Diceros bicornis minor: one gene and its partners. The protein of the gene in region 2 purifies or fractionates together with the protein of the main gene of each other region. This does not show direct contact. Links are inferred from orthologs where the notes say so. Each region holds a gene or a part of one and is shown on either strand. Other genes may lie near its edges. The genes, in order: SMAD6, SMURF1 and STK38.

Region 1 (9,687 bases), on a different chromosome or scaffold from region 2:
CTTCCAGGGGAAGCTGTCAGGAAGAGGAATAAGGGGCACAAAATGCCCACCGTGGGCCACAGGTCAGGGATTGCCAAACGCCCCTGAAAGGGGTCTGGAGCGACCATGTGGGGAGCAGGGCGGCCAGATCAGTGCTGCGTCTCCCCACGCACCATCAGGAACCACCACTGAGCACTGAGGCATCCTCCTTTCTCCTCCAGCCACTACCCCACACACAAACAAGACACCTGAGACAAACCCACGCTCCTAGGCCCACCCTCCCCTTGCACACCGGGAGTCACAAGACCTGTGATCTGACCCGCTAGGTGCCGCCCCGCTGAGAGCTGACTCTCCAGAGGGGCCAGACAGGAGGAACTCAGGGACCTCCCAGGCCCCACAGCCTGTAACTCTCTGACAGTCCCACCCCTGCATAACCCCCAATGCCACCTAAGATGCATACAACCCCTAAGATGCTACGAACTAAAAAGTGTGCTTCCCTGCAGCGCAGAAGTCAGAGCAGAGGGCACTGCAAGCTTCTGGCCTGCCAGGAGCCCCCGCCTGTCCTCACGTCTGCTCCAGCACCCAGGGCCTGTTTAGGTAAGATCTGGAGGTGGGGTGTGTGCAGGAAATCCCAGCAAGAGAACAAAGAAGGAGGGCAGTTCTCAGAGGTAATAAAATACCTGGCTTCCTCGCCTACTCACAGACGCCTCCAGGACCCTCACCCTATACAAAACCTGGACATAGAATTGAGAATGATGATGATGGAGGGCCCTGGCACTGGACACCCAAGGGATGTTGGGTGCAATCAGAGCAAGAGAGAGGTCTCCACTCTGAGAAGGGATACCCTGCAAAAGCTTTGCTCCGAAATGTATAAAGGAACAAGTGGGACAACGAACACTACTGACTCTAGCCATGAACTGTCTACGTCCAATTTTACGATGTACATCTCCTTGGGTACAAGAAAGTATAACGAAGCTATAGGCATATGCACACGAATGGTATACACATATGCACACGAATGGTATAGGCATATGCACACAAATGATACAGGCCTGGGCACAGACTAGGGGTAAATGCGAGGGGGTGGATGGGGCACTCCTGTCTTTGGCTTCTCCTAGGCCTGCCCTCCCCTTTCACTGTCTATGAGTTTGGAACTTACATTACGTCCCTGAAGCTGCGCAGACAAAACTCCAACGCGTACCTTTTTAAGTTTGCGGGAGCCCTATGATGAAGTTGCCATTTGATGTGTGTGCCCAGATACCCACTCCCTGGCTTTCCTCTCAGGGTGAGGCGCCTTCACTGGGAACTCCCACGCTCCAGGGGCACCCGGGGGAGCACCCGCAGCTCCGCCCGCCCGAGGTGTCACGGACAGAAAGGCAGCCACGCAGGGGGCCCGCTCACCTGGCCCGCAGAGCCGGCTGAAGTGGTAGGGGTTGCAGCACACGGTGGGGCCATCGGCGGCGGCGGCGAAGCTGTGGCAGCCGCACAGGGGCTTCAGCTCCACGGCGTGCTGCAGGTCGGGCCAGCGGAAGAGGCGGCCGAGCAGCAGCTGCGGCGGCGCGGGCTGGCCGCCCAGGCGGAGGTCGGCGCGCGGCACCAGCACGCAGCCGCCCGGCACGCCGCCGCGGGACTCCACCGCCTCCAGCAGCGTGTCCAGCGAGCGCTCCTTGAGCCGCTTCAGCAGCGAGTACGTGACCGTCTTGAGTTCCTGCTCGAGCAGCAGCAGCCGCGAGCGGGCTTCGCGACTCCGCCCGCCGCCCGCCGGCTCCAGGGCAGCCCGAGCCAGGGGGTCGCCGGCGTCCCGGGGCGCGCCAGGGGCGTCCCTTTCGGAGAAGAGGCAGCAAGTCACCGTCTCACAGTCACTTTCGGGCAGCCAGCCCGGGCCTCCCGGCTCCGCCACGTCCAGCGGGGAGCACCCAGCGCCGGCCCCAGGCTCCGACATGGGCCTCGGGGGACCCCCTGCGCGCCGGCGCCTCCCTGCGCCCTGGGCGCCTCGCTGTCCCACCGCGTCCCGGGGCCGCCGCGGGGCTACCGGGCGGACTTCGGAGCGGCCGCAGCCTCCGCCTTCTCGTGCCCGCGGGGCCGGCTCAGCTCGGCTGCCCAAGCTCCCATCCTCGTCGCCGACGCCGCCGCCGCCACCTTCCTCCCGGTCGGGGACCACACGACTTCGCCAAAGTCGCCGCACCAGCCCCGAGCGTTTGGACCTGAACATACGATATCCTTTGGCGCCGGGGGTGGGGGGGAGGCGGTCTCCGGTTACCGAGGGTCCGTTCCCTCAGCGAGGCGCCGGCTACGCGGGCCGCAGCCCCACATGAAGCTCCGTTGCCGGGCGCCGTGCAGACCGCGCACAGCCTGTCGTCGAAGGGGCGCCGCGGGGCTGCAACATGAGGGAGCTCGCCGCGGCGGGCCGGCGGGGAACACGCGCACGCCGAGCCGCAGTCCGCGCCGGGCCAGCGGCTACATGGACCCCGGCGGCCGGGCTGCTCAGCAACTCCAGCACCGGCGCTGTAAGGAGACTGCAAGCGGCGCGCCGCCAGAAAGACCCCGCATGGGCCGGCGAGCCTTCAAAAGTTGCGCGGCTGGTCCATGAGCACAAAGCGCTCGCGCTGAACCCCCTGTGTCTGGGAAGCCCTGCCTTTAAAACCCAGGCGCTTAACTACATGGGCTTTTCCTGCAGGATCCGAGAGGCAGGCTTGTTGATACCCTCAGCTTCCTTCTTACTCCCTGCAAAAAGAAAAATAAAAAAGGAAAGAAAGAAAAAGAAACCCCAAACAAAACCAAAATCCCTGGAATTGCATGCATGAAAAGCCAACTCCGTCTCAGGTCCCAGGCGCTAGATGCTCTTGGAGCGAGTTTCTCCTGAACGCGAGTGTCAACACATGAGTGGAAACTGTAAAAATCCCAAAGAGCTGCTAGGAATCCTTAATTAAAAATGCAATCCAACGAAGCAGAGGTCGCAGCCCGCCCCACGCTGCGCTCGGACGCCCCGGGCGCCGCGGCTGCAGAGGTCGTCCCCCTCCCCCCTCCACAAAAAGTGCCTCCCGGTGGCCCCGCGGTCCCGGCGAGGTCTGGCGAAGCAGCGCCCGGCGGCTCTTTCTCTCGGCTTGGCTCCCTCGCTCGCTCCCCTGCTCGGCTCTCTCTCTCTTTTTTGTTCTCCTCAAACGCACACTGAGGGCCCCCGGAGGAGCGCCGCGGAGTCATTGGCTGCCTCCCATCATATGCCAGTCTAGACACTTTGGCGGCTCCGCGGCGCTGATTGTTGCGCAAACAAGGTTTCAAGTTTCTTAACTCTTAAAGGAGAACACGCCCCATTGCAGGGCCCGAGGCTCCGAGGGGCCGGCTCCTGGGGCGGGCGGAGCCCGGGCCCCCGCCCCACGCTCGCCCCGGCACCCCCGCCCCGGGCCTGACAGCGCCCACAGCCTGCTCTCTGGCGCGCGTTGCGCCGCGGGCAGGGATACGAGCTAGCACACGCACACGCGCGCACACACAAACAGTTACACAAACCCTGGGCAGGCGGCGCAAGGGCTCGGTGGACCCACTGAGACTCGGACGCGAACGGGGCGCTTTGCCTCTCTGGCTTGTGCACAAACTTGCAAACACACGTTGCACTTTAGAGTTGGTCCAAACCTCCGTCCCAGGGAAGGCTAATAAAAATCGGTGTGCGTGTTGTGCCTTCCTGGCGTGCGTCTCTTGGAAGCAGGGAGCAACTGATTTGTTGGGGTAGCAGGATCTTCCGTGATGACACGAGGTCTCCACACCCCCTGCGCATAGTCAGGGGTCGCTCTGCTGCCCAGACGGGGGGGCCTGGGACGCTTCGCGCACAGGGGCTCCAGGCTGGCCCGAGGTAGGGACCTGCAGAGGGTGGGGTAGAGGCGGGGAGTGTCTCCTTCTCTCGGGGTCCTCACGGTCGCCACGGGCCTCCCTCGGAGCTAGGCGGTCCTCTAGCCGTCCCAGGCCCCCTCGAGGCCGGGTGCTCCCTCCTCCCCCTTCCCCATTTTATTCTGTGCATCGTGGAGAGAGATGTGGGGAGCGGTAGTGCTTCCCCCAGCGACGTTTCACCACGGAAATGGGGGTGGATTGGGAGGCGGGGCCCTGGCCCGCCGGGTCCGGGGCTGGCTCGGGGACCCGGCGGCGGCAGCTGGCCGCCCGGCGCGGAAAGGGTTAAGGCCGCTCCTGCCCCTGGAGCCGGCGCGGCGGGGTACCTCCTCGGGCGCGCTCGCTCGTCCGAGGGTGGCAAAAGTTCAAGCTTGTAAAGTCGGGATTGGTCCCGCGCGGAGGGAAAAAAGGCCTGGTCCCCCCTCCCCCCCAGGGCGCGGCGCCGATTGGCCGGGCCGCGGGGCGGGCCCCGCCCCCTCCCCGCGCGCGGCGGCCCCGCCCCCGGCGCGGCGCCCCGCCCCTTTCCGGGCAGGAGCCCGGCCCCGCACTGAATGAAAGAAATTCCTCTGCTTTCATTGGCCCCGGGCTGGGCGCCATTCCCCTGCGGGGGCCGCGGGGGCGCCAGCGCGCGGGTCTCCCTCGGGGGTGCCCACGTGTGGGGCTGGCCTGGTGAGCGTGCGGCGGTGCGAGTTCCCCGCCGGGCTGGAGGCTGGGTGTGCGCTGGGTGAAGGGCGGTCTGTGCAGGGAGAACTCAGAACCATTTGTTGAGGTTTACCTGGAGTCAGGTACTGTTCGCGCCGCGCTCTCTGTGAGACGTGGTTGCTCTCCCGAATGGAGAACCGGCCGGAGAAGCTTCCTCACCCGCATCCCCTACTGCTTGGGCCAAATCAAAATAGTTGTCTCAGCCTCAGTTTCTTGTTTGAAAAATGGGGATCATGACGCCTGCCCTGCGTTCTTCACAGAACCATGAAGAGCCTAGGAGAGAGTGCATTTTAGGCAGGAATCGCAAGTGAACAGCAGGGTGCATTTTCACAAGTGAATACAACACCTGTGTAACTAGCACCCAGAAGACCCTCTTGTGGCCCCTTTCAGTGACTTCTCGCCCCCGGGAAAATTAATGCATCTTAAAATACAAGGAGGAACTCAGTGTAAAGTACAATATTTTTTTTTATTGGGGTATTTGCTGGTTTGGCTGTGGATTACAATAATAATAGCTCGTGCTTATTGAGTCGTTACTGTGGGCAAGCATTACAAGGATTCAGTCATTGAATTCTCACAACAACCCTGATAGGGACTATTATCATCTCCATTTTACAGATGAGGAAACTGAGGCACAGGAACTTGCCCATTTAATTTGCCATTGAAATGAAAATAGCGTTGAGAGTGCTAAAATGCTGAAACCAGAGGGGCATAAACCAGTATGTGTGCTCATCCCCGACAGCTAGAAAGTGGTGTGTGGGTCTGTGTTTCACAGCACACTCTCAGGGCAGTGATTTTCAAAATGTGGTGCATTGGACCCGCTGAATCAAAGTGTTATGGGGCGAGGCCCAGACTGCACATAACACTTTGGGGATGGGCATGGTTGTTACTACCATTTTGCAGAAAAAGACACTGAGGCACAAAGACATTAAGTAACTTGAACAAGCTTTTAGTTAGTGGCAGAGGCGGGGTTTGAACCCAGGCAGTTTGGCTGGGGGCAGGGGTATGTGTGTGTAATGGGAGCAAAGGGAATGGGGCAGCAGGCAGGACATGGGTTACCCCTCAGGGCTTGCACAAATGCCCAGCACCTACCCCTGGCGCAAATATGTGAACACTGGCTCCTTCCCCTTCCATCCCCCAGACCTCCCTGAGGTACAGTGGCATCCCTTTCTGGGGGAGCGCCCTGAGGGATGTCGGGCCCTCAGGCCAAGGAGGGACTGAAGCAGTGACATTCCTGGGAGGGCTGCCTTCTTCCCCGGGCAGTAACTGGGACAAAGGTTTGCTGCGGCCCTTATTCACCCGGAGGTGTGGCATTAGAGGTGGGGTGCCATTAGGTGCCCGCTGGATGACGTCTGAAGAGCACCAAAATGAGAGTCTGGTAGGCCTGAGTTTGGTTCTGACGCTCCTTTACCTCCCTCAGCTCACTAAGCCTTGGGGTTCTCATCTGTGAAGTGGGAGTAGGAATCATGCTCGTGGTGATTACCAAAATGAAATGTCATGAGGGCCCAGTCATCTCCCATTACAGGAAGACTGCCTCCAAGTGGAGACAGGGTCTGGAAGGGAAAGGCAGTCACAGTCCCTCTGTCCTTAGAGCTTCCAGGTGGAGACAGGATCTGGAAGGGAAAGGCAGTGACAGTCCCTCTGTCCTTAGACTCCGAGGCCCATCCAGCCTCGCGCTGGCCTGCGTTGTGACCACTAGAGGGTGTGTGCGGCAGGGCCCAGCGGGGCAGGGCCACAGAGCTACAGCCTAAGGGCACCCTCCTAGATCCCCTCTGGAGAACAAGCCCCAGTTCCCTGGGGGGCATAGGAGAGGAGGGAGCTGGAGTCCCAGCTGCTGCTCCTCAGGTCTCTGCAGCCACATTACTCACAAACTCTAACCCATCAGATTCAAACCTGCCCCCGACCCGTTATCTAGTATTCCCCCAAAGTACCCTGTGCCTTCTCTTTACAGCACTTCTCACAACTCATAACCATACAGTTCCTCGTCCATCCTCCTCTGCCTCTGGAGTGTAAGCCCCACTTGGGTAGAGATGGTGAAACTGTCAGGCACAGGCCACCCACAGCAGCACTGAGAGAGTCGGAAACAGGCCATTTGATGCCACTCTGTGCCATTGAAGAAGCTAATTCATACAAGGCAGCACCTGCCCTGTTTCTTCTCCCCAGTCCCTAGCACAACGCCTGTCACATAGTAAGCACTCAATGAATATTTGTGATGTGGTTGAATTAAATCCCTCACTTCGCCAAGCTCTATACTCATCATCATCCCATACTGAAACTTATATGCACTATCTCGTCAAATCCCCCAACAACACAGTGAAGAAGTTTTTATTCTTAATAGACCTGTTTTTAGAGAAGGAAACAGAGAGGCTAAGTAATTTGTCTCTGGTCACACAGCCAATAGGTGGCAGAGTTGGGACTTGAACGCAGGGCTGCTTGAGGTGAGTGTTCATCTTCTTAACACCTGGTCCTAGAAAAGAAAACAGGGTCCTTTGCCCTTAGGAAGTTTCCACATTAGCTGGGAAGACACAAGGCATGAAACGACAGAAATCGTACAAGGCAGAGCTTGCTTCTTGGTGGTGGGAAGGGGTGGGCTGTAGGGACCACTGCTTATGAACAGAGGCATCACAGAAGGAGTCTGGGCCACCACTTGCTATAGTCAGATGGATTGGCAGGGAGACCGATTCATCCTCATCCACTTCACAGGAGACTGATGGATAAACCAAGGCCCCACTTCTTAACTCAGGGAGAACAACTACAGGCCTGACTGGCTGAGTAGTATTGTCTGCCCCTTTGGAAAGTAGATCTACTTGGCCAACATGGCCCCAAATGGGGGAGTTGGGCACCCTTGAGTAACAGACAACCCTTCCGAGGCTTTGATGAATGCTGTGGACCCTCTCTCCCTTGAAAAAATGCACACGTGCAGGAATGGAACTTCCTGGTCATTCATTCAACACGTACTTGTTGAGCTCCTATTGGGTGCCAGGCTGTGTTCCAGGTGCTGGGGATCCTGTACTTAAGCAAAACACAAAAAGTCCTGAGCTCAAGGAGTCTCGTGGGAGGACAGACAGACCATAAACAAAATAATCAGATATACAGCGTATTATAATGTAAAGGTGCCAAGGACACAAATAAAGCAGAGAAGAGGAGAAACGAATGTCAGGAGAGGTAGGTGTGGTTCAGAGAAAGCGGTCAGAGAACGCTTCCCTTGGGAGGTGACATTGGAGCAAAGTCTTGGTGGTGGGGCGGGAAGCGCTGTGACACTATCTTGGGGAAGAATGTTCCAGGCACCAAGGGTCCTGAGCTGGGAGCATGTCTCGCATGTTCCAGGACCATCAAAGAGGTGATGCGGTGGGAGAAATACTTGGGGGGGCAGATTGTAGGGTCATGCAGGGTCGTGCAGGGTCTGTGGCTTGTCCTTGGAGGGATCTGGGAGCCCCTGGAGGTTCTGAGCGGGTTTGGGCCATGATCTGCCTCTGTTTGCACAGGCTCCCTCTAACAGCCATGTGAACAGACTGCAAGGGGCAGGGTGGAAGCGGGGCACAGGGGGAGCCTGCTGCGGTGGTCCAGGACGGGCCATGCTGTCTTGGGGAGAAGTGGTCGGATCCTGGACGCATTTGAAGACAGAACCAGCATGAACTGCTGGTACAGATTTGAGAGGATGAGAGAACATCTGAACAGTGTACACATGTTATTGACACATTTACTTAATTTTTTAAATCAATTCACCACTTGTGTTTCGCCTTGTCATAGCAGTAATATCCATGGAGTCACAAATGTGCAAGTTACATTTATCACTTGAAAATAAATACATAAAATATGTTTGTGCGTCACCCGAGATTATCCTGGAGACCACCCGGACACACCACAGTGTTTTACTCTTGCCTCTCCAGGTGGCCTGTGCTGGCACAGGACAGTCACGGTTCTGAACCGTTACTATGGTAGAACCAACAGACCTGAGTTCAAATCCTGTTCAGCCACCTCTTACTCTGTGGCCTTGGGCAATTTCCTTTACCTCCTACAATAACCCCCAGTAAGGTGCTATTATTATTCCCAGCTTGCAGATTACAGATGGAGAGCCTGAGACCTCGCTGGTAATAATCATATTGGGAGGTTGTTTTGAAGATTAAAGTGCTTAGCACAGAGTCTGACACCTCACAAGCATTCAGTAAATGGTAGCTGTTATCAGCGAAATGAGTGTGGAGTCAGTCGTTACCAGGTTAAGCCGCTAAACTCACAACAACCTTGCAAACTGTTTAACCCCTGGGAGACTCAATTTCCTCATCTATAAAATGGACCTACCTGACCCAGGGGGCAGTTAAATGAGTCAAGTCCCAGCAAGCTCTAGGCTTCAGCGGCTCGTCGAGGAAGTGACCTGGAGAAGGAAGGTGGGCTGTGTGAGGGAACCGAGAGAAACTCCCCTCCCGGAGCAGGGATGGGGGTCCCTTCACGAGTGCAGAGCAGAACGGGGCAGAGACGGGGGCCTGGGGAGATTCCAGTACCAGGAAAGGAGGGTGACGTGCCCAAGATCACAGGGCCGATTGGGGTAGCGGGGAGTTGAGCGGAGGTTTTCCAACTCCCAGGGCGCCTTGCCCCTTATTCCATTGCTTAAGGCTTCTCGCCCCAACTGGGCGGTGGACGTAGGCTCTGGGGTCAGACTGCCTGGGTCCTAATCTGGGATCTGCCCCTGACAGAGTGGCCTTGGTCACTTGACCCATCCTCTCTGAGGTTCAGTTTCCCGGTCTGTAAAATGGGTTTAGTAATAATAGTACCTACCTCAGAGGGCCATTGTGAGTATTGATTGAGATCATACATGCAAAGCGTTGAGAGCTGTTCCTGTTATTCTGCTCCTTGTGGATGCGGCAGGAGAGGGCAACACCCCGCACATGATCAGCTTTCAGAAATACCAAGTGAATGAATGAATGGCAGCGTGACTGAGTGAAGTGCAGCAAGTCTCGTGGTTGTTCAGAGGGGCAGTTGCACAGAGAGCAGGCTGAGGACTGGATTTGCCACAGTGAAGCTGCATTACCGGCACCGTCCTTCTCACACTGGGAGACCGGGCGGCCTCTTGAAGTCAGAAGATTTTTCTGGAGAGCTAATTTGACTCAAGGATCTTGGAGAAATTTATTTTTGTAT
Region 2 (9,990 bases):
ACCGCTAAGCCACAGGGCCAGCCCACATTTATTAGCTTTAATATCTTTTTTTGTATTCTTTTGAATTTTCTATATATAAGATTATATCATCTGCAAATAGAGAGAGTTTTACTTCTTCCTTTCCAATCTGGATGCCTTTTCTTTCTTTTTCTTGCCTAACTGCCCAAGATCTCCTATACAACAGAAGGTGTGGGCATCCTTGTCTTGTTTCTGATCTTAGGGGGAAAGCATTCAGTCTTTCAACTATTGAGTATGATGTTAGCTGTGGGTTTTTTGTAGATGCCCTTTATTAGGTTGGGAAAGTTTCCTTCTGATCCTGGTTTGCCGCGTGTTTTTATCATGAAGGGGTGTTAGCTTTTGTCAAATGCTTTTTCTGCACCTATTGAGATGATTGTCCTTTATCTATTGATATGATGTAGCACATTAATTGATTTTCAGATGTTAAACCAACCCTGCATTCTGAGATAAATTCTACTTAGGTATCCTTTTAATGTGCTGCTGTATTCAGTTTGCTAATATTTTGTCACGGTTATATTCATAAGGGATACTGGTCTGTAGTTTTCCTTTTCTGTGTTGTCTTTTTTTGTATCAGGGCAATATTGACCTCATAAAATGAGTTGGCAAGTGTTCCTTCTTGTTCTATTTTTTTTTTTTTTTTGGAAGAGTTTGTGAAGAATTGGTACACATTCTTCTTTAACATTTAGCAGAATTCACCAGTAAGCCATCTAGGCCTGGGCTTTTCTTTGCAGGAAGTGTTTTCAATTACTAATCCAATCTCTTTACTTTTTATAGGTCTATTCAGATTTTCCATTTCTTCTTGAACCAGCTTTGGCAGTTTGGCTTTCTAAAAATTTGTCAATTTTGGGCCAGCCCCGTGGCTTAGCGGTTAGGTGCGTGTGCTCCGCTGCTGGCGGCCCAGGTTCGGATCCCGGGTGTGCACTGACGCGCCGCTTCTCCGGCCACGCTGAGGCTGTGTCCCACATACAGCAACTAGAAGGATGTGCAGCTATGACATACAACTATCTACTGGGGCTTTGGGGGAAATAATTAATTAATTAATTAAAAAAAATAAAAGTGAAGAAAGATGAAAACAGGGACAAGACTAGGGTGTCCACTCTCATCACTCTTATTCAACTAAGTACTGGAGGTTCTGGCCAGAGCAATTAGGCAAGAAAAAGGAATAAAAGGAATCCAAATAGGCAACGAAGAAGTGAAACTCTCGCTGTTTGTAGACGACATGATCTTATATATAGAAAACCCTAAAGAATCCATTGGAAAAATATTAGAAATAATCAACAACTACAGCCAAGTGGCAGGGTACAAAATCAACTTACAGAAATCAGTTGCATTTCTATATACCAACGACGAACTAACAGAAAGAGAACTCAAGAAGACAATCCCATTTACAATTGCAACAAGAAGAATAAAATATTTTAAAAAATAAATAAAATAAAAATTTGTCAATTTCACCTAAGTTATCAATTTGTTGGCATACAGTTGTTTACAGCATTCCCTGATAATCCTCTTTATTTCAGTATAGTTGGTAGTAATAGTTCCTCTTCAGCATAATCTTTACACCCTTCCTTTCCAATGGCAATATATGTGTACATATATATTCACATATACACACACACTCTTCAGTCTATTTTGTGGATAGATCATAATTTATTACAGCTCCTGCTGGTGTTTTACTTCTTGTTCCTCTAATTACAAAATTAATACATTACTTATAAAAAATGAAAACTTGGAAATGTATAAACAGAAAATGCATGCCCCTGAAATTCATCATTACTCTTTGTTCAGCATTTTCCTGGATAGTCTCACATACTTACTTTTCCCATTGAACTATAGAATCATTTTGAGCCAGTTAAAAAAATTAACTCATAAATAAATTTAAGAGGAATTTACCTCTTTACAATATTGAGTATTCCCATTCTTGAATGTAGTTAATCATCCATTTATTAAGTTCTTTAATGCCTGTCTTTAAACATTAAGTGAGGTTTTAAAGTATTTCATTACAGTTTTCCACATTTCTAACTGGGTTTACTCTTAAGTGTTCTGGATTTTGTCACTATCATGAATCTCATGAGGGTTCCTCTCGCTGCATTTTCTAAATGTTATTTGGATATAGGAAAGCCATCAATTTTCTTAAGTTAATTTAAAATCAGCCGTCTTTTTCAACTCTCTTCAAATGGGCCTGTGATGTTCTCTTTCCTTCACTTGCCTTTTCTTTCTCACAGCTTTGAATGTCTCAAATGCTCTCATATTAAATTCAAAGTGTCCAAAACTGAAGTTAAAATCTTCCCACTCCGCCTCAAACCCTGGTCCTCTCCGCAGATTCATTACTTCAGAGACCACCAGCAACACCCATCAACTGCACAAGCCAGAAATCTGTGTGTCATCCTTATACTTCTCAATCTCTCTCAAACCATCTCCACCCTTGTTCAAGCTCCCAACACTAGCTATCACCAAGTAATCTGTTCAAGATTTAAATCTCCTCATGTCTCTTTCCTTTTAAAAAATTCCACAGTCGCTTCCCATTGCACAACTCCAGACCTGTCATGCTCTGCCCCCAACCAACCTCACCTCCCCAGCCTCCAAGATTATCCGCCAGCTCTGGGCCCTGGTTTTTCTGAGGTGCTGGTGCTGGACTGCTTCTGACTGGAAGAATTCTGGTAACATCTCAGAAAGATTAATCTTTGTTCATATTTACAAGACTGGCAATGTTTTAATTTAAGGCTCACTCCAGCGGAATTTGGTTACATCACAAAGTGGAGAAGGTCTCAATAGTGTCAGCATAAAGAGAATTTTGCCTCAATTTTGTGCAAAGATCCTTTAGGATCATACTGAATCTACTTTAGTTAAAGGCATATTAATTTCTCCCACTAGAATAATTTTGTGATCTTGAGATAGAATTCTCTTTGTCTACTCTAGGAGATATAATGATAAAAGATAATTTATTACACAGCATAAAATCCCACTCTGTCTAGATATACCACTTATTTTTAAACAAGTATGTGATACACCAATTATGAGTGAGTTTCTGGGGATACCACAATGAACAAAAGAGACATTTACTTTTACAAAAAATGAAGCTTATTTTTTCGGTGTAGACCAGGCATGGCTGCTTCAACTCCAACTCTCAAGTGCTCTCTACTTTGGACAAATCATGTCTCTTACATCCTATAATTTCCTAATCACGTACCATAGTTTCCTCATGTTGGGGATAAAGTAAGAGTAAATTACATGATGTTCACTTAGCATCTGAAAATACACGGAAGGGAAGTGTTTTGCTAACTTGAGGTAAATTCAATTAGTAAGACAAGCTTCTTTACCAGGTCGCTGACAAAAGCATAGGGTCCCCAAAATACTATTTGTGGTTTCACCCACTCCCAGGATAAGCTACATCAACACAAATTTAGTACTTTATTATATCATCTTAAGAAATTTTCCATTTTTGGGGTTTTTTCCCCCGGTTTTAATGAGAAATAGTTGACATACAAGAAATTTTCTAATTTGTGTCAATACTTCACACTATTTTTCTATTCTCCAAGGCTAGAAACTTTGGCTGTAATTTTTATTCCTCCCTCCTCTTATATTTATATGTATCACCACATCCTACCTTCTCTTTCTTCCAACTGTCTCTTGAATTCGTCCTTCCCCTGCTTTTGTACTCACTCTCCTAGTCTCGGCTTCACCTACTCACAGCTTAATCTAAGAGCAGCGTGCCCTTCCTAACTCAAGCCTCTCCATTCACATTACACTTAGCCACCAGATTAGTCTTCTGAAATGCCATTTTCCTGTTCTGAGGCTCAAAAGACTCCAATGGCTCTGTCTTGTATTTACTGCAAATCTGTTTCTCCCTGAGTTTTAAAGTGTCCCATTCTCTAGTATCACCTTTATTTCCCACATTCTTCAAAGCGTAGTTGGGTTCATTCCCCGCTTCCATCCGCCCCAACCAGTGCTCCCGCTGGGCGGTCATTCCTGCTCCTCAATCCACCGGACAAGCCCTCTCTCTTCCTGTGCTCTATCTTCTCGAGCCAGGCGAGGCCCACTTTCTCAGTGAAGCCCCATTCAGGCCAGCGTCTCCCAAACGTCACTCTGTGATAACATTTTCACTAGTGCCAAAATGAAAACAGTGAGAACAATATAGTGGGTTTTCATAAAACTGAACTAATTAATTTTAAACACCTGTCCTTTGTCCCAGTGTTATGTCTATTTTTTTCATGTTGAAATATCCTATCTTTAACGAAATGAGGTAACAAAAAATGGTAATAGTTTCAACAGTGACTTGGCAAAATAAAAAGTTGGCAATTTTATGTGGATAGCCTTATTTACATAATGTTTTGACTGCTCCGGGAATCACTACTCTAACCAGCAGCAATCTGTTGCCGCTTTACTCCTGTTTACTGTCAGAGCCAGAGAGCTGAGTGCTCAATCACTTTTCATACGGGTGGCTTTGCCCCCAGCTAAGTTCCTCTGAAGTCCCACCTTCCACCCCTTTAGACACGGGCTTCATGTGGTGCTGGCCACACAACAGGCACGTAACGTGGATTATGATGAACAGAAAACAAAAAGCAAGCCAGAGAGTAACAGTGATAAAAATATAGAAAATTAAGGTATCTCACTAACTTAAAACATCTACGTAAAATTTTCATTTATTAGAAAATATAATTTACCACCTAGGATAGCCACCAGCACATAATATGCATTTAAAGTATATTATTAGTTGTCTATCTCATCTAACTTAAGTCTAAAACTCACTCTTTTTATCTCCTTGGGGAAAAATCCTTTAAGCTACAAAAAAGAGTAAAAACAGAATCCCTGCTCATGGCAAAGAGTAAGGTTTCCTGATCAGAGTGCTTCACTAGCATGTCATTTTCTAGGCCCTGTACCAGAGTCACTCATCCGTCACTTCTCATACAAATTTAGGAAATCCTCAAATTTTCATTAAGAGGAAAAAACAATCACATTTGAGTTACATCAGCAGACTTTAAATGCCAAAATCTTCAAATCCATACAGAATTGAACTCTGTTCCATTACCTGCTTAATGAAATAAACAACTTTTCCCAATCCTTCTCAATAAGTTTATACACATAACACACTAACACATTTCCACTATTCAGACACCATTAGATGATAAAATGATTTCTTCTTTGCAGGTAAAATTGTCTAAGTTAACAAAACACGTTTTAGCAATCACCAGCCGTCCCTATTGGCTCTGGAGGTGCGGGTGACTCTGGTAAACTGACAGGCTTGAGACAGGTTTTCCAAACACCTCCTTGCTTAAAATATGAGTGTTACAGCTTCATCTTCTATCAATGTATTAAATTAGAAAATAAAGGACAGAACTGTGTGAATTATTTGACCTCAGAAGTGTGACAGGGTTCAGCTCATAGCCCCAAACCTTGAAGCACCCGCGAGGCAGGGCTGCTGTGGCAGAAACTCTCCTCCCCCCATGAGGCAGAGCTCAGCTCTGAGATGAGGGGACATGCTTGCTCCTCTGCCTGTCCCCTTCGGTCCCCACCAGCAGCAAACACTAACACCATTCATGTGACTTTAGAGTCTCAGAAGCTCTTTTATATACATCATTCTCTACCTATTCTTACAGGATGAGGCAAGTGGACATACAGGGCAGGTGTCACTTTTTTCCACTTTATTGGTGAAATTATTCAGATCCAGAAAGATTCAGCAGCCATCCCCACTTCTACCCCCATCCCACATTACACTATCATAGCAGCATCACAGCTGTTATCAGAGTTTGAAATTAAATCCTCTATTTATTGATATGCTGCTTCATGTCTGCCTGTCCCATACAAAAACGTCCACTGGAACAGGACTGTGTCTTTGGTATTCACCACTGTATCCAGAGCTTGGTATGGTGTCTGGCACACAGAGGTTACTTTAAAATGTTTGCTGAATAAATAAATTTTATTTTTTTCCTGTCTAACTACTCACTAGAACATAAGCACCAAGACGGCAGGGACTATTCTTCTGAACCATTACATTCCTAGCACGGAACACAGGGCCTGGCATAAATTCAATGCTCAAGAAATATTTGTTGAAATAAATGAATAAGTGCTTGAATGAATGAATGAGATAGTTTTACTAGAACCTCCACTGTGGTGTGACTGACTGCCACCCCATACTCCACCAGGAGTCAGCGCCTGGCAGCTTTGCATACACCGCCACCCGACAGATCTTCTTCAGAACGAATGTATGCTATTTCTTAAGGTATCATGAGTGACATTTGGTGGCACTAGGGAAAAAAAGGTTCCCCTGCATCGAAACAGAGGTAATACAATGCAGGAGAAAAAAAAGTACATGCCAAAAAACAAGTAATAAAGTCCAGAGGGCATTTGGAACTTTTTTTTGAACAAAGCCCTCATTAATGAACACAGTCATTTTTACACCTTAAGGGATGATTTCCAAGGACTGATCAGGCCATTACACTCCAAGAAAGTCTATAACTGAGGGACATATTTAATTTTTAACTTTTAATCCTAAAATGTTGCTTTTCTTGACACCGTGGATTTGCCCCACAGAATCTACATTAGGAAGACTTCTTCCTGGGTGAAGAAAGAAGACAGGCCTCCCAGGAAGCAATTTCCAAAGCTACTGTTGGCTTTTGTTTGATTACTTCCCAAGTATTACAGGCCAGACCCCTTGGCTTGGGAGATAAGCAAAGTATCTCATTTAAAGTCTCTGTCTTTTAGAATAATTTCCATCTCCAGATCTCCAGTCTCCAGTTTCTGTCTTAAATAAACCAAATGGAATGTCTTCCAATCATGTTAGAGTGAAACAAAGGCATGAAGAATCAGGGTGATTTTACAGGTGGACACATATTTCTTTGCCTTACAACATAGGAAAATTCAAGTTTTCATTAGAGAAAGTTTTATCTAAATTTTTTAAGTTATATTCCAAAAGTAATCAGTTCCTAGATCAGTTAATTATCAACGTTGTCTCCTTAAACACGTTTATTTTTCCTTTCTAATGTCCTCATACAAAGGCCATACGCAATGGTAATGTTTATTACCTCCAACTCTACCTCAGCCTGGATGTCTACTATCTCATTTGCTGAAAAGTGAGCACATGGTGATTGTACACCAGGAACTAAGGAGCAGTGTGCAACTTGAACTTCCGAAACCACCCTGGAAGCAGACTATCTCCCAGGCAACCATCCGACCAATACATCTGCTGGACCAATACATCTGCCAAAAACATTGGATGAAGCCTATCAATGGAATCACAGTGAACAGTTTGGAAGGTTTGGAAACTTTGCCATTGTTTTGTGAAACTTTAAAAATGCAATCTAATTTCCTTGAGTATAACTAATAACAGCAGCTCAAATTTATTGAATGCTTACAAGATCATTAGGCACTATACTGCATCTGACATCATGATTGCATTTATTCAACACCACAACTCCATGAGACAGATACTGTTATTATATTCATTTTCCTGATGAGAAAACTGAGGCTTTAAATTAAAAGGTCATATAACTTGACAAACCAAGGTCAGTTAGTAAAAGCTGCTGCTTCTGAGTGGTGAATCCATTCATCCATTTAACAAACATCTGCTGATCACCCACCACAGGCAAAGCCCTGTTCTAAACTCGGAGGATTCCATGAAGAACAACAACAAAAATGGTGCTTGTCCTCAGGGTACTTCCCATGCCTGAGGGTTTGACTTCTAAGGAAAGTAAACTATGAGCATCCTTTTTTTTTTTTAACAACTGCTTAAAATTGACTTCTCGGCCGGCCCATGGCTTAAGTGCGGTTAAGTGCGTGCACTGCGCTACTGGCGGCTGCGGTTCGGATCCCGGGCGCCCACCAACGCACGGCTTCTCCGGCCATGCTGAGGCCGCATCCCACATACAGCAACTAGAAGGATGTGCAGCTATGACATACAACTATCTACTGGGGTTCTGCGGGGAAAAAAGGAGGAGGACTGGCAAGAGATGTTAGCTCAGAGCTGGTCTTCCTCAGCAAAAAGAGGAGGATTAGCATGGATCTTAGCTCAGGGCTGATCTTCCTCACAAAAAAAAAAAAAATTGACTTCTCAAGGTTGGACTATCTTCCTAAGGTTATACAGTATAAAATAAAACTCAACTTTGTCAGGAAAGAAATGAATTTCAACCCCAAAAGCCTGTCATTAAGTAAATTACATTTGATTGTCACCCTAGAAGGAACTTGAATGAACTCCATTCACAGGAGATAATCCAGGGTTAACAGGGAGGAGAACTCCACATAAATCCAAACGTCCTCACCCGCCTGACTCTTGAAGACCTGGTCATATAAATGAAGCTGTGTTCTTCTGATGAAGCCAGCCTAAACAAGGTGGTAACTGCTGAGAGTAAAGGGGAAATTGAGGGATTTGGTGGCAACAAAGCAACAAAGAATTAAGCAAACTAGTCTACAACCTGATAATCAGACCAGACCCAAAACAAATAAGCAAGGAAAAAAGGTAATAATTAATAAACAATAGCAAGAGAAAGTTCTCTCAGCATTTTCTCTCCTTCAGTTACTGGGCTGACAAATGAGGCCTTATTAATTTGATGCATAGAAAGGTCGACAGAAAACCCAAAGGTGAGGACAAAGTTTAGCAAGGTAACACATTGCAAATATCCGCATGCACGGTTATGAAAAAACCCATAATACACAATCTTTTAGAACAAATTCATTATAATTTCTTTCCTATTTGTGATTTTATAGTGCTAGGTTCTATAGCACTGAAGTATTTAAAGGTATTATTTTGCATGGTTTTATCATAAAATTTTGTATAATTACTTAGCGAATCATTATTCATATCATGTAAATCAGGGTAAAATCATTATGCTCAATTTAGTCGAGAAAAATAGAAGCCAAGGAGATTGAATAACTTGCTCAAGGTGACCTGGCAAAGTTAGTGATGGAGATAAGAACTTGATCCATCCATAAACTAAAACCACATAGTTCAACGAATTATGCTCCTTCATTAAGACAACTGAGTATTAAGAATGAAATAATTTGTCACAACATTAAAATTTCAAATAAATGTGGCCAACACTGGATTCATAAGATCATTTAAATTAAAAAAAAAAAAATCAGTCATGATCCAGCAATTCTACCCTTAGGTGTGTAATCAACAGAAATGCACATATACATAACGTTTGCCATATAGTAGAATGGTTATAGCAGCACAGTTGGTAATAACCAAAGACCAAGAACCATTGAGATGCCCATCAACAGTACAATGAATAAAGAAGTTGTGGTATTCACAAAATGCAATATTATACAGCAATGAGAAAAACAACTACAACTACACACAAAATCATGAATGATTCTCACAAGCATGATATTCAATGGAAGACATAATATATATTATATAATGTCATTTATATAAAGCACAAAACCAGGCAGAACTAATATATACTGTTGAAGTTGGCTATGGTTACCCTTTAGCAGGACAAAGTACAACTGGAAGGAATCCTGAGGAAGGTGTCTGGGTAACTGGCAAGCCTCGGTTTCTTGATCTGGGTGCTGATTACACATGTGTGTTCAGTTTGTGAGAATTCAGTGAGCTATACACTTAAATATTTATAAATCAATCATAAAAATCAATGGAACAGAATAGAAAGTCCAAATATAGACCCATAGGTATAAGATCAATTGATTTGCATTAAAGGTGCCAAGATAATTCAGTGAAGCGGTAAAAAAAAGATAGTCTTTTCCGGACTAGCAAATGGGATGGATATCCAGTTGAGATAAATGGGATACCCTTAGGAGAAAAGAATAAATAAACCTTAACCCTTACCTCACACCATACACAAAAATTGACTTGAAAAGGAGCACAGACTTAAACATAAACACTAGGTACCATTAAGAAAATAAAAAGGCAAGAGAAAATTCTCCCAGCGAGGAGAAAATCTTCATAATTCATATATCTGAAAAAGAGTTGTATGGAGAATATATAAAGAACTCTTACAACTCAATAATCAAAAGAAAAAT
Region 3 (10,240 bases), on a different chromosome or scaffold from region 2:
TTTTCAGAATGTATCCCCATCATTAAGCAACACATGACTGTAATACGTAAAAAAAAGCCAGACAAACAGAATGTTCGGTGAAAATAAGTATACATTAATGTCCTATGACCCAGAAATACCATCCATAGGTATAAGACCTAGAGAAATTGTCACACAGGCTCTTAAGTGGATAGGTACAAGGATGTGTATTACAGAGATGTTCATTATGCCATCATTTGTGTTTTGGGAAGTTGGAGGCGATTCAACAAGGAAATAAATAATTTTTATTTTATTTTATTCTATGGACACATATGAAGAAATACCATGCAGGAGTCAGAAGCAACTCTACCTGTACCTAAAAGCAACGTGAACATATCTTTAAAATATACTGTTGTATTTTTAAAAAGGAAGAGAACAAGATCACAATACCATATGCATAAATTAGGAATATATAATATACACACAGTTCAATTCTTTGCCATCTAGGAATTTACCTTGAAGAAATCAAAGACCCATAAGGATTCATACACAAGGGGGTCCAATGCAGCATTGTAATGACAAAGGAAAACTAAAAATAACTTGAATATCCAACAACAAAACTAATTAATTATGAAAAACTCCTATAATGAAATAATATGCAAACAACTAAAACATGTTCAAATGTTTAATGTCAGGGGAAATGTTTCCAATCTATGTGAAAAGACTAGGTTACAAAACAGAATGTATACCATGATCTCAATTTTATGTGTTTACAGTATGTGCACAGAATTATTAGAAAGATATATATCAAAATGTTATTAGTGGCTTAACACTAGGGAGTGAGAATACAATAAATCATTTTTTTATTCTTTTTCATGCTTTTCCACATCTTCTATATTTTCTTCTATGAGCATGTACTATTACCATCAAGGTATTAATAACTTTTAAGTTTACAGTTTCTACAGTTAAAAAAAAAAATCCATGACTCTATAATGCTCATCTAGACCGGCCCCATGGCGCAGTGGTTAAGTTCAGCACACTCTGCTTCAGTGGCCCAGGTTCGGACCCCCATTGTGGACCTACACCACTCGTCAGCCATGCTGAGGCCTCATCCCACATATAAAATAGAGGAGGACTGGCACAGATGACAGCTCAGGGCTAATCTTCCTCAAGTAAAAAGAAGAGGAAGACTGGCAACAGATGTTAGCTCAGGGCGACTCTTCCTCACAAAAAAAAAAAAAAAAGAAAATTTAATTAAATTTAAAAAATAAATAAAAGTAAAAAAATAAAATACTCATCTATAGGTATCTATGTACTCTGACACAGCTTATGGTATTTGATAAATGTTTGCTATTTGAATTTACAAGTTAAAACAAAGACCTATGACAGAAACAATATTACAAAGAAAAAACCTGAATCATAATTTTAGTGATGGAAGATACCTTAAAAACAAGGGACCCTAACCTCCCAGTTTTACATATGATAAAACCAATACCAACAAGGTTTAGATAGCTCATAGAATTTTTTTCCCCCCTAAATTTAAATCGCATTTTCCCCCAGGTATTTTTATCAACCTATACTGTCACACTTGGCCAGATTGTTCACCAACCTTGACCTGCTCCAGCATTAGCAATAATGCTCAATATTTTACCCTTATCACGCCTTCCTCCCACATGACCTGTCTTTATGTCTTTCTTTTCATCTGAATATAAAGCTGAGTAAAAATTAGAAGGGGCAAAGGGCCATTTTCAAAGATAGTGCATTTTATGAAAAGTTTTCTTAAGATTCTCTCCTTAATACTTAGCAGTTTTCTAAATTGTTTTGTAGATTAAACTAAAGCTTTTAAGGAATGTGCAAACTTATTATTAAGAAAAAAGACTTAACATTAAGCGATTTTATAAAAAGATACTCAAGGGAAAAATCACATAAAGAATAATCCCTTCAGAGCAGAGATTCAAAATCAAGGCTTTACTTCAGAGTCAAACATTTTGTTTCATGATGTGCCAAAATGATCAGTAATCACAAATTCGAGACATTGTATCCAGCTCTACATAACTATGAAATGTTATTTATTATGGGGAAGTTTCTAATACAAAGCAAACTCAAATGTTTTCAGGATATCAGTAGAAGAATTTTTTTAAAAACCTCTGTTTGGTTTATAAAGTTTGGGTGTGGTTCCTTATTTGTCAGCCTGTACCCACTCCACCCACAATGAAAACCACATGCACTCTAAGTTTGGTGAAGAAATTTTAAAACCAGATTTAAAAACAAGTCTGAAGCAAGTGAGCGCTTTGTACTCCTCCCTTGTCTGAAAATTTCTGGAGACCCTTTATATATATATATGCAGTTACATTTTAACAACTGAAATTATTTCAACACAAAAATACAACAACTAGAGAGTGTTTAAGCCTAAGACAAACAGGGCCTTCCATATAATAGGTGGTTAATAAATGTAAGTTGAGCAAGTTAATGATTTTTCAGTCGTCAACAAAGCTAAAGAACAAAACTATATTTATATTGATGGGTATATAAAAACTTGGGGGTAAAAGTTTTGACCCATTTAAGTCACTGGCATGACTTCCTAAACTTTTAAAAAGATCAACAGGAGATTAAGTGCACCCAAAGATGCTCATATAGTAGGCCAACAAATTTTCCAGCAGAATGGTTTTCAATCTTCACGTAGTTTCTAACGTAATGGCAAAGGTTGCACTGTCCTTCCCTTTAACTTTTCTTCAAAATCTCCTCCTCCTCCACTCATAAAAGGGTTAGCCTAATTCTAATAACCTTTCATCAAAAGATACAACTACTGTTGCCCTATAGCAATTTATAGGCTTACTGGGTTAACCAAGTACTTTTTTGTGTGTGTGTGAGGAAGATCAGCCCTGAGCTAACATCCATGCTAATCCTCCTCTTTTTGCTGAGGAAGACCGGCTCTGAGCTAACATCTATTGCCAATCCTCCTCCTTTTTTTCCCCCAAAGCCCCAGTAGATAGTTGTATGTCATAGTTGCACATCCCTTCTAGTTGCTGTATGTGGGACGTGGCCTCAGCATGGCTGGAGAAGCGGTGCATGGGTGCACGCCTGGGATCCGAACTGGGCCGCCAGTAGCGGAGCGCGCGCACTTAACCACTAAGCCACGGGGCTGGCCCTCAACCAAGTACTTTTAATAAAACAAGGCTTTCCCTCCTGCTTTTGCTAATTCAAGCCTTCATGCCCTGACCTACAGGCCATTGGAGGCCCTTCATCTATTTGTTTCATTCTCCAACTCTGCAGAATTAGGGAATAACAGGTAGGTGAGAAATTCTTAAAAGTTTAAAAATGTAACAAAAAGAATATGATCCTTATAAGTCGGGGTATGCACTGCAAACATAAAAGGAGATCAAATGAAAACCAGTTTTATTCAATACAGATAGTTATGCCTGGTTGACCGGATTTACAATGGTACTCTGTTATCTCCATAAACACCCCCTTCTCTCACCAAATCTTTACTTCTTTGTGACCGACAATCCAATACCTTTCATTTGGACAATGATGAATCCAATTCAACACTGGAGCTAAGACTATTCCTTAAGAGTCACATATTTAACTTTTCCTACTGAACCGTAAGCCACTGGAAAGCAAGCACCCTGTCTTAAACTTCTTTTTAATATCCTTCCCCCATCTTACACACAATGCTATGTACTTAGTAAGCACCTTATAAAAGATTTACTAGGAAAACACTCGTTTTTTATGTCCATGACTAGGAGTTAAGAACATGTATGTGTGATGGAGATAGGGCTGGGACATGGAACGGTTTTCTATACAGAGTTGGAGGACAAAGTTCCCATCCTCTAATGAGGAAGCTGATACCTAATGTCTGGAGTGGAGAGTGGAGCCTTGTTACTGTGGTGGCGGTGGTTTTATGTTTAGGGAAACCACATCTACTGCCTGGTTAATTCTAATTCAGAACCAAGGTGAGCTGAAAGCGAGAGAAAGCACAGAGTCTACTTTACTCCAACCTTCCTCTGTACATTTCAAAAGCTTCTCTTCGTGTCTTGCAGTCAATTCAAAGTGCAACTGGTAAATCTGTTCTACTAGCCGTTCTGTACACTTTCCGACACGGACTTTCCTCTAAGTCCTTACCGACTTTCCTTTCCCACTCTCTTCTTAAAAGACGAGTCCTCACCAAATTCTCCTGTGATTTTTAAGATGATCTGAAACCCCGTATCCTAAGACTAACCATGGGGAAGAGGGCAGACTCAAAAGCACCACACCTCGTTTTCGACATCTCTGCCTCACACAACAGCTCTCAGGTTCTCAGACCCCAGAAAAAAGAACAGGAGATGGAAATTGGTAGTGACCGAGATCCCGGAGGGGACCGAGCGGTGGCAGCGAGCAGACAAAGCTGACAACATGTACAGGAGAAAAGAGCCTGGCTCCCCGCCCCAGCTGCACACGAAGAAAGGGAAAGGCCAGGGTGGGGAGCCTGGGACGGGGGAAACGGGCAGAGACCCGACAAGAAGCCTCTGGAAACCGGGACGAGGGGGACTGTCAGGAGAGCAAGAGAGCGGCCGAAGGACCGAGAGGGTGGGGAAAGAGGAAAGAGGGCGCCGGCGGGAGGGTAGAGCCCCAAAAAGAGTCGGGGGAAGAGGAGATGAAGGAAAAAACCGGGGATGGACAGAAAACAGCGGCAGCAAGCCACTCACCAGAGCCCCGGGGGAGGCAGGGCTGGGGGCCGCGGACAGCCTCAGACGCCGGCCCGGCCAGCGGTCGCGAAGCGGGGACAGGCGAAGCTCCGGCGGCAGCAGTCAGTTCTCCAGAAAATGCGCGGGGACCCGTGAAGGTCTTTGAGGTAGGGGCCAAGGAGCCGTTGCGGGCAAGGACAACAGGAAGCGCCCCAACTGCCGGAAAAGACGGCAGCGCGCAGGGGCCAAGGCAGCCGAGTCCCCCGCCACGGAGAGAGGCTGGCGCGGCGGCCGGGGGCCGCGACTGCGCAAGCGTGGCTTCCCGGCGACGCGGCAGAGGTTTCAGGACTGCGCGTGCGCAGCCCCGCCCCACCACACCCCTCCCCGCCCTACCCCAACAGGAGAGGCGTCGCCGAGGGCAGAAGTGTGAGGTGTTCGGCGGGCTCCGAGTAGGGAGGGGTCAGCGGAGTTTCCCTTACGGTTTTGTTGTTGTTGTTCACTTTTTATTTCGAAATAGTTATAGATTCACAAAAAGTTGTAAAATTAGGGCCGGCCCGGTGGCGCAAGCGGTTGGGTGCGTGCGCTCCGCTGCGGCGGCCCGGGGTTCGCTGGTTCGGATCCCGGGCGCGCACCGACGCACTGCTTGGCAAGCCATGCTGTGGCGGCGTCCCATATAAAGTGGAGGAAGATGGGCACCGATGTTAGCCCAGGGCCGTCTTCCTCAGCAAAAAAAGAGGAGGATTGGCGGATGTTAGCTCAGGGCTGATCTCCTCACAAAAGAAAAAAAAAAAAAAAAGTTGTAAAATTAGCATAAAGAGGTCCCATATACCCGTCACCCACCCAGCTTCCCTCAACATCTTACATAACTATACTACATCATCAAAACCAGGAAATTGACCCCGGCACAAGACAACTAACTCATCCAATACAATTACCTGAATTACAAACCTTACTCAGGTCAACCAGTTTGGCATGCATGCATTTGTGCGTGTCGGTGCGTGCTCGCGCTCATCTGTAGTTCTATGAAATTTTATCACCTATATAGTCCTCATCGCCCACCTTCCCCTGATTTTCGACCGTCGTAGTAACAGGTCTGCAGGAGCCCTTGGCCCCACGTACTATTCCTTGAGTCAGGATTAACACGCTCTACCCTGGGATCGGGCGAGCTCTCATAGGTTTGGACGTGGGCTACCAGGAGGGGGTCCCAGTGTGCCCAGAGGAACCTGCTTTTCAAGGCTACCCAACCGCTTAGCCTGTACCACCTCTTGGGGTAAAGAGGTCCCAAGCCTTTGGACACTCACTCATTTCTTGAGAATGGAGCAGAGTGCTCTTGACCAGAAATTGTCAGGCTCCTGGAAACAAAGCTGAGTAAGGCATGGTCCCTGCCTGACTTCAAAGAGGCCATCCAGGGTGCGAAAGAAGCATGTGTGCAAGTCATTCATTAGGGTGTTTTGTGATATTACCGTGCCTCACTCTCTTGTGTAACTGTTTGTAAGACCATAGGGCTTAGTTTGATCCTTCAAGCTTGGGGTCCCAGGCTTTGTTTCCTTAATATCTTAAAAGTATAGGTCTTCCTTGACTGCTTTCATCTTTTTAGACTTCAAAGCCCAGTTTCCTTTTGTCTAGCCTCATGCGAAAACCACTTCACCTTTCATTCTCTCTGCCTAGAGGCCGTTCTCCCCCAATGTCTTTTGTGTCCAACTCCTTCCCATCCTTAATGACTTAATAACAGTGCTAGATGTTTGCATAGTGCTTTTCCGTTTATAAACTGCATTCACTCATTTAATCTCAGTTGATCCTCACAACTCTTTGGCAGGTTGCATAGGATGAGATTTTACACATAAAGTAACTAACACTGAGAGAAGCAACGTGACTTGCCTGAATTCTCACAGCTATTAAGCCAAGTAGGGAAGTAGGGAACCCCACTTTCTGACTGCGAATTCAGTGTTCTTTCTGCTTTTCCCCTTTCCTTCCTCTAAAGCCCAAATCAAACCTTATGTTTTCCTTGGAGCCTTCCCAGTTTCAGAAGAGGGATTTCATTCTCTGCTATCCATAGTCCTATATTAATTTATCTGTACCCTAACTCTAATAAATACTAAAGTTGTCCTCAAAATAACCCAGCCAGAATATGCTGCTCTCCCTACATGGATCCAGGTGATGACATTTTACCATGACTCCAAAAAGTGTAGTGGGTATTTGTCATTCTTTTTGACCACCTAGCTCCTGAATCCCTTTCATGCATTTCCCACTTCTCACTATCAAAACTGCTGATTCCAGATATCCTCTCTCCTAGACTCCCTTGCACCTAGGGTGTGGGCACAAAACCTAAGTGCCACTTGTACCCACCCCAGACTGTGAGTTGGAAACTAGGGTGATCTGACCCTGTACTTGCAGCACTCAGCCTCATTTGCCTCACTCTAATACTGGTGTTGTCAGATGCTGCCTTTATTTTAAATGTTGCCATTTTGTTCATCATGGATTTTTTTGCATTAATTTTTATTTTTTTAAATATTATCTTGATTACTGAGTTTTTTTACACCCTCATAAATCTTGTACCAAGGCGAGTGTCTTGCTCACCTCACCCTACTCCAGGCCCTGAAAAGATCCCTCTGAATCTGTTCCAAAGAGTGGTGGCTGCTTCATACAGTTTCTAGAGACCTACACAGAGGGCTCATTGGCCAGAATTGTATCACATGGCTACCCTTCTTGGGAAAGCAAGTACTCAGCTTTTTTATGCTCTGTAATGAAAGCAGGCAAAGAAGAAAGGGGTTGGGAATGAATATTGTGTTAATCCAGTTAATAATGTCTGCCATAGTAGTATATATTACTTTGCTGTTCTCTTTTAATCTGATTTACTAATCTAAATGGAGAACTGACATATAGCAGAACCCTTATTAATTGACTTCTGATTAATGGGAACACTGAACAGAGTCAATCCCTTTATATTTTCTATTGTATATTATTTCTGCCCTCATGTAATTATAGTCACAATATAATTCACCTAATCCAAGCTTCTCAGTTTTATAACAGATTTCTCTAAAAACTCTTGGAAAAAACAACCTTACAGTATACCAAGTTATTCTTTATCCCCCTGGGACTTGAGTTACTTGATTTGAATATTAGCACTTTTTTGTCTGCTCTTTTCCCCAGTTTCGGACCCACTAGCCTTTCCCTTCTCTTTAAATCCAGGCTGCCGAAGCAAAGCCTGCCCAACTTAACCCCTAGGCCACTGGCGCTGGCCCCCAAATTGTTCTTTGTCCCAAGGGAACCACCTGCTGCTTCTCCATCAGGCTGACCTGCAGGTGCTTCACCAGCTGAAGATCAGCCTCTCAGCAAAGACCACAGTCCTCTAAAGGACAGGCATCTTACCCCCAGCAGTGTGTGCCCCACCCATTGGACGCGATGACATCAGTTGCCTCTGAATATTCCTCCCAGAAGAGGATAGGAACTGTGCTTGGTGCCTGCTAGCCCAGTGCTTCTCAAATTTTAGCGTGCACACAAATCCCCTGGGATTCAGTTAAACTACAGATTCTGACTGAGAAGGTCTGAGCAGAGCTGAGATTCTGCATGTCCAACAAGCTCCCAGGTGATGCTAATGCCGCTGGTGCACGTACCAGACTTGGAGTAGCAAGCAACTTGAACATATATCTAAGGGAAGAATAAGAAGGGGAAAGTGCCCATGATCCAGCAGCCCAAGGTCCCTACCAGGGCCAGACTCGGGTGAGGCACGTGAGGCACCTAGGGCACAGCATTGAAGGAGGCTCTCAAGCTCAGGTGCAGCCCCTGCACTTGCATGACCCTGAGGGTAAGCACCTCCTCACATTGTGTGTCCAGGCACCTTACTGCCCACCCTAGTCCCAGCCCTGGTCACTACCAACTGACATTTTGGTGAGTATCCCTCCAGACTACTTTCTAACACACATATAAACACATATGGGATCATACTGTATATGATTATACTGTATATAATTATACCTACACTATTACCCATATAGTTAATTACACTGTTAGTATTTGTTCATTTATATCTAAGTTGTGATATTTTTAAATCCTCAAGCTCTGACAATTTAATCTCAACAAATTTATTTAATAATTCTGTTCCTCTAAAATGTGCATACTTGCTTTCTCGGAGTGGAAGAATTATGAATAGTTATTATTTTCTTCCTTATACTTTTCTGTACTTTCCAAATTTTCCACATTGGACCCACATAACTTTTAATTTAGTTTTTATTTTTATCAAAGTAATACACGTATGGACTTGAAAGAGACCAGATGATCTATGAGACTTATAACGATAAACAGCAATTCCCTGCCCCACCCACTCCCACCGGACTAACTCAGCAGAAACAGCTGCTTTCAGCGCTTTTAGTTGTTTCTTCTGCTATTTACCTCCTTGTTCTAAGTATTGTTGCTATGTCTTAAGTTTTAGATATTTTTTAATTTTCTCAATGAAGATGAGATTTTAACTCACACCACAACTTCCCCATAACTTCTTCTACCACTACCATTCTTCTTAAATCAGTATTCGGTGTTTACAACTGAGCCAAGCAGGGCAGAATAATTACCCTATCTCCTTGTACCATTTTTTGTTTTCCCTGGAGTTAACAATTGCCTCAGTGTTTCCCTTCCCTTTAAAATATCTATCACTAATTTGTCTGCAAGCTCTCTGCCAAAACTGGAAAACTTTTCTAAGATTATGGTCAAACTCACAGTCTGTCAGCTCCGTTGTTTTCTCTAGGATCTTCCTTCCTGGAGCCCTCGGTATTAGTGAGGGTTCTCCAGAGAAACAGTAGCAATAGGAGAGAGAGAAAAAGAGATGGATTTGTTTTAAGGAACTGGCTCTCATGCTTGTGGGAACTAGCAAGTCCCAAATCTGTAGGGCAGGCTAGCAGGCTGGAAACTCAGGGTTTCTATGTTGTCATCTTGAGGTAGAATTCCTTCTTCCTTGGGACACTTCAGACTTTGCTCTTAAGGCCTTCAACCGACTGGATGAGGCCCACCCACATCATGGAGGGTCATTTGCTTAACCTAAAGTCAAGTGACTATAAATGGGTTTTTCTTGCATTTTGTTTTTTTTGTTTTTTTGGGGTTTTTTGGTGAGCAAGATTGGCCCTGAGCTAGCATCTGTGGCAGTCTTCCTCTATTTTGTATGTGGGATGCTGCCACAGCGTGGCTTGATGAGCGGTGTGTAGGTCTGCCCCACACCGGACCCTGGGCCGCCTAAGTGGAGCACACGAACTTAACCACTATGCCACTGGGCTGGCCCCTATAAATGTTAACCTTATCTAATATATACCTTCACAACAACATCTAGAATAGTGTTTGACCACACTGGGCACCATAGCCTAGCTAAGTTGACACATAAAATTAAACATTACACCCTCCATCCTCCCAAGTAATCTTTCTCCCACCATGTTTTTTTTTCTCTTTAGTGTCCCCCTCCCGCGTAATCTGTAAATATCAACCATAGTTTTCGGTAAATACTTCCCAAGTGAATTAAGACAACCCATCATGGAACTGTGCTAGGGTAGATAAAGTGAATGGGAGAGTCAGTGGGCACCTCCTCTACCCCATCCAGCTGCCTTCTCATCTCCGTTTCTTTCCCACTGTCCTAGGAG

Evidence for each region.
Region 1: the proteins of SMURF1 (region 2) and SMAD6 purify together in Homo sapiens (affinity purification with western blotting; 4 studies listed by BioGRID). This does not show direct contact. The link is inferred for Diceros bicornis minor from reciprocal best matches to the Homo sapiens genes SMURF1 and SMAD6.
Region 3: the proteins of SMURF1 (region 2) and STK38 purify together in Homo sapiens (affinity purification with western blotting; 3 studies listed by BioGRID, with this or other methods). This does not show direct contact. The link is inferred for Diceros bicornis minor from reciprocal best matches to the Homo sapiens genes SMURF1 and STK38.

Annotation. Positions count from the first base shown.
Region 1 is NC_080744.1:60,815,755-60,825,441, reverse strand, and holds the start of SMAD6 (mothers against decapentaplegic homolog 6), read right to left. Parts: upstream 4,063-9,687; 5' UTR 2,192-4,062; coding exon 1,381-2,191; intron 1-1,380. UniProt on the Homo sapiens protein: Transforming growth factor-beta superfamily receptors signaling occurs through the Smad family of intracellular mediators. SMAD6 is an inhibitory Smad (i-Smad) that negatively regulates signaling downstream of type I transforming growth factor-beta.
Region 2 is NC_080765.1:7,550,584-7,560,573, reverse strand, and holds the start of SMURF1 (E3 ubiquitin-protein ligase SMURF1), read right to left. Parts: upstream 4,078-9,990; 5' UTR 3,983-4,077; coding exon 3,898-3,982; intron 1-3,897. UniProt on the Homo sapiens protein: E3 ubiquitin-protein ligase that acts as a negative regulator of BMP signaling pathway. Mediates ubiquitination and degradation of SMAD1 and SMAD5, 2 receptor-regulated SMADs specific for the BMP pathway.
Region 3 is NC_080753.1:28,358,939-28,369,178, reverse strand, and holds the start of STK38 (serine/threonine-protein kinase 38), read right to left. Parts: upstream 4,900-10,240; 5' UTR 4,644-4,899; intron 1-4,643. UniProt on the Homo sapiens protein: Serine/threonine-protein kinase that acts as a negative regulator of MAP3K1/2 signaling. Converts MAP3K2 from its phosphorylated form to its non-phosphorylated form and inhibits autophosphorylation of MAP3K2.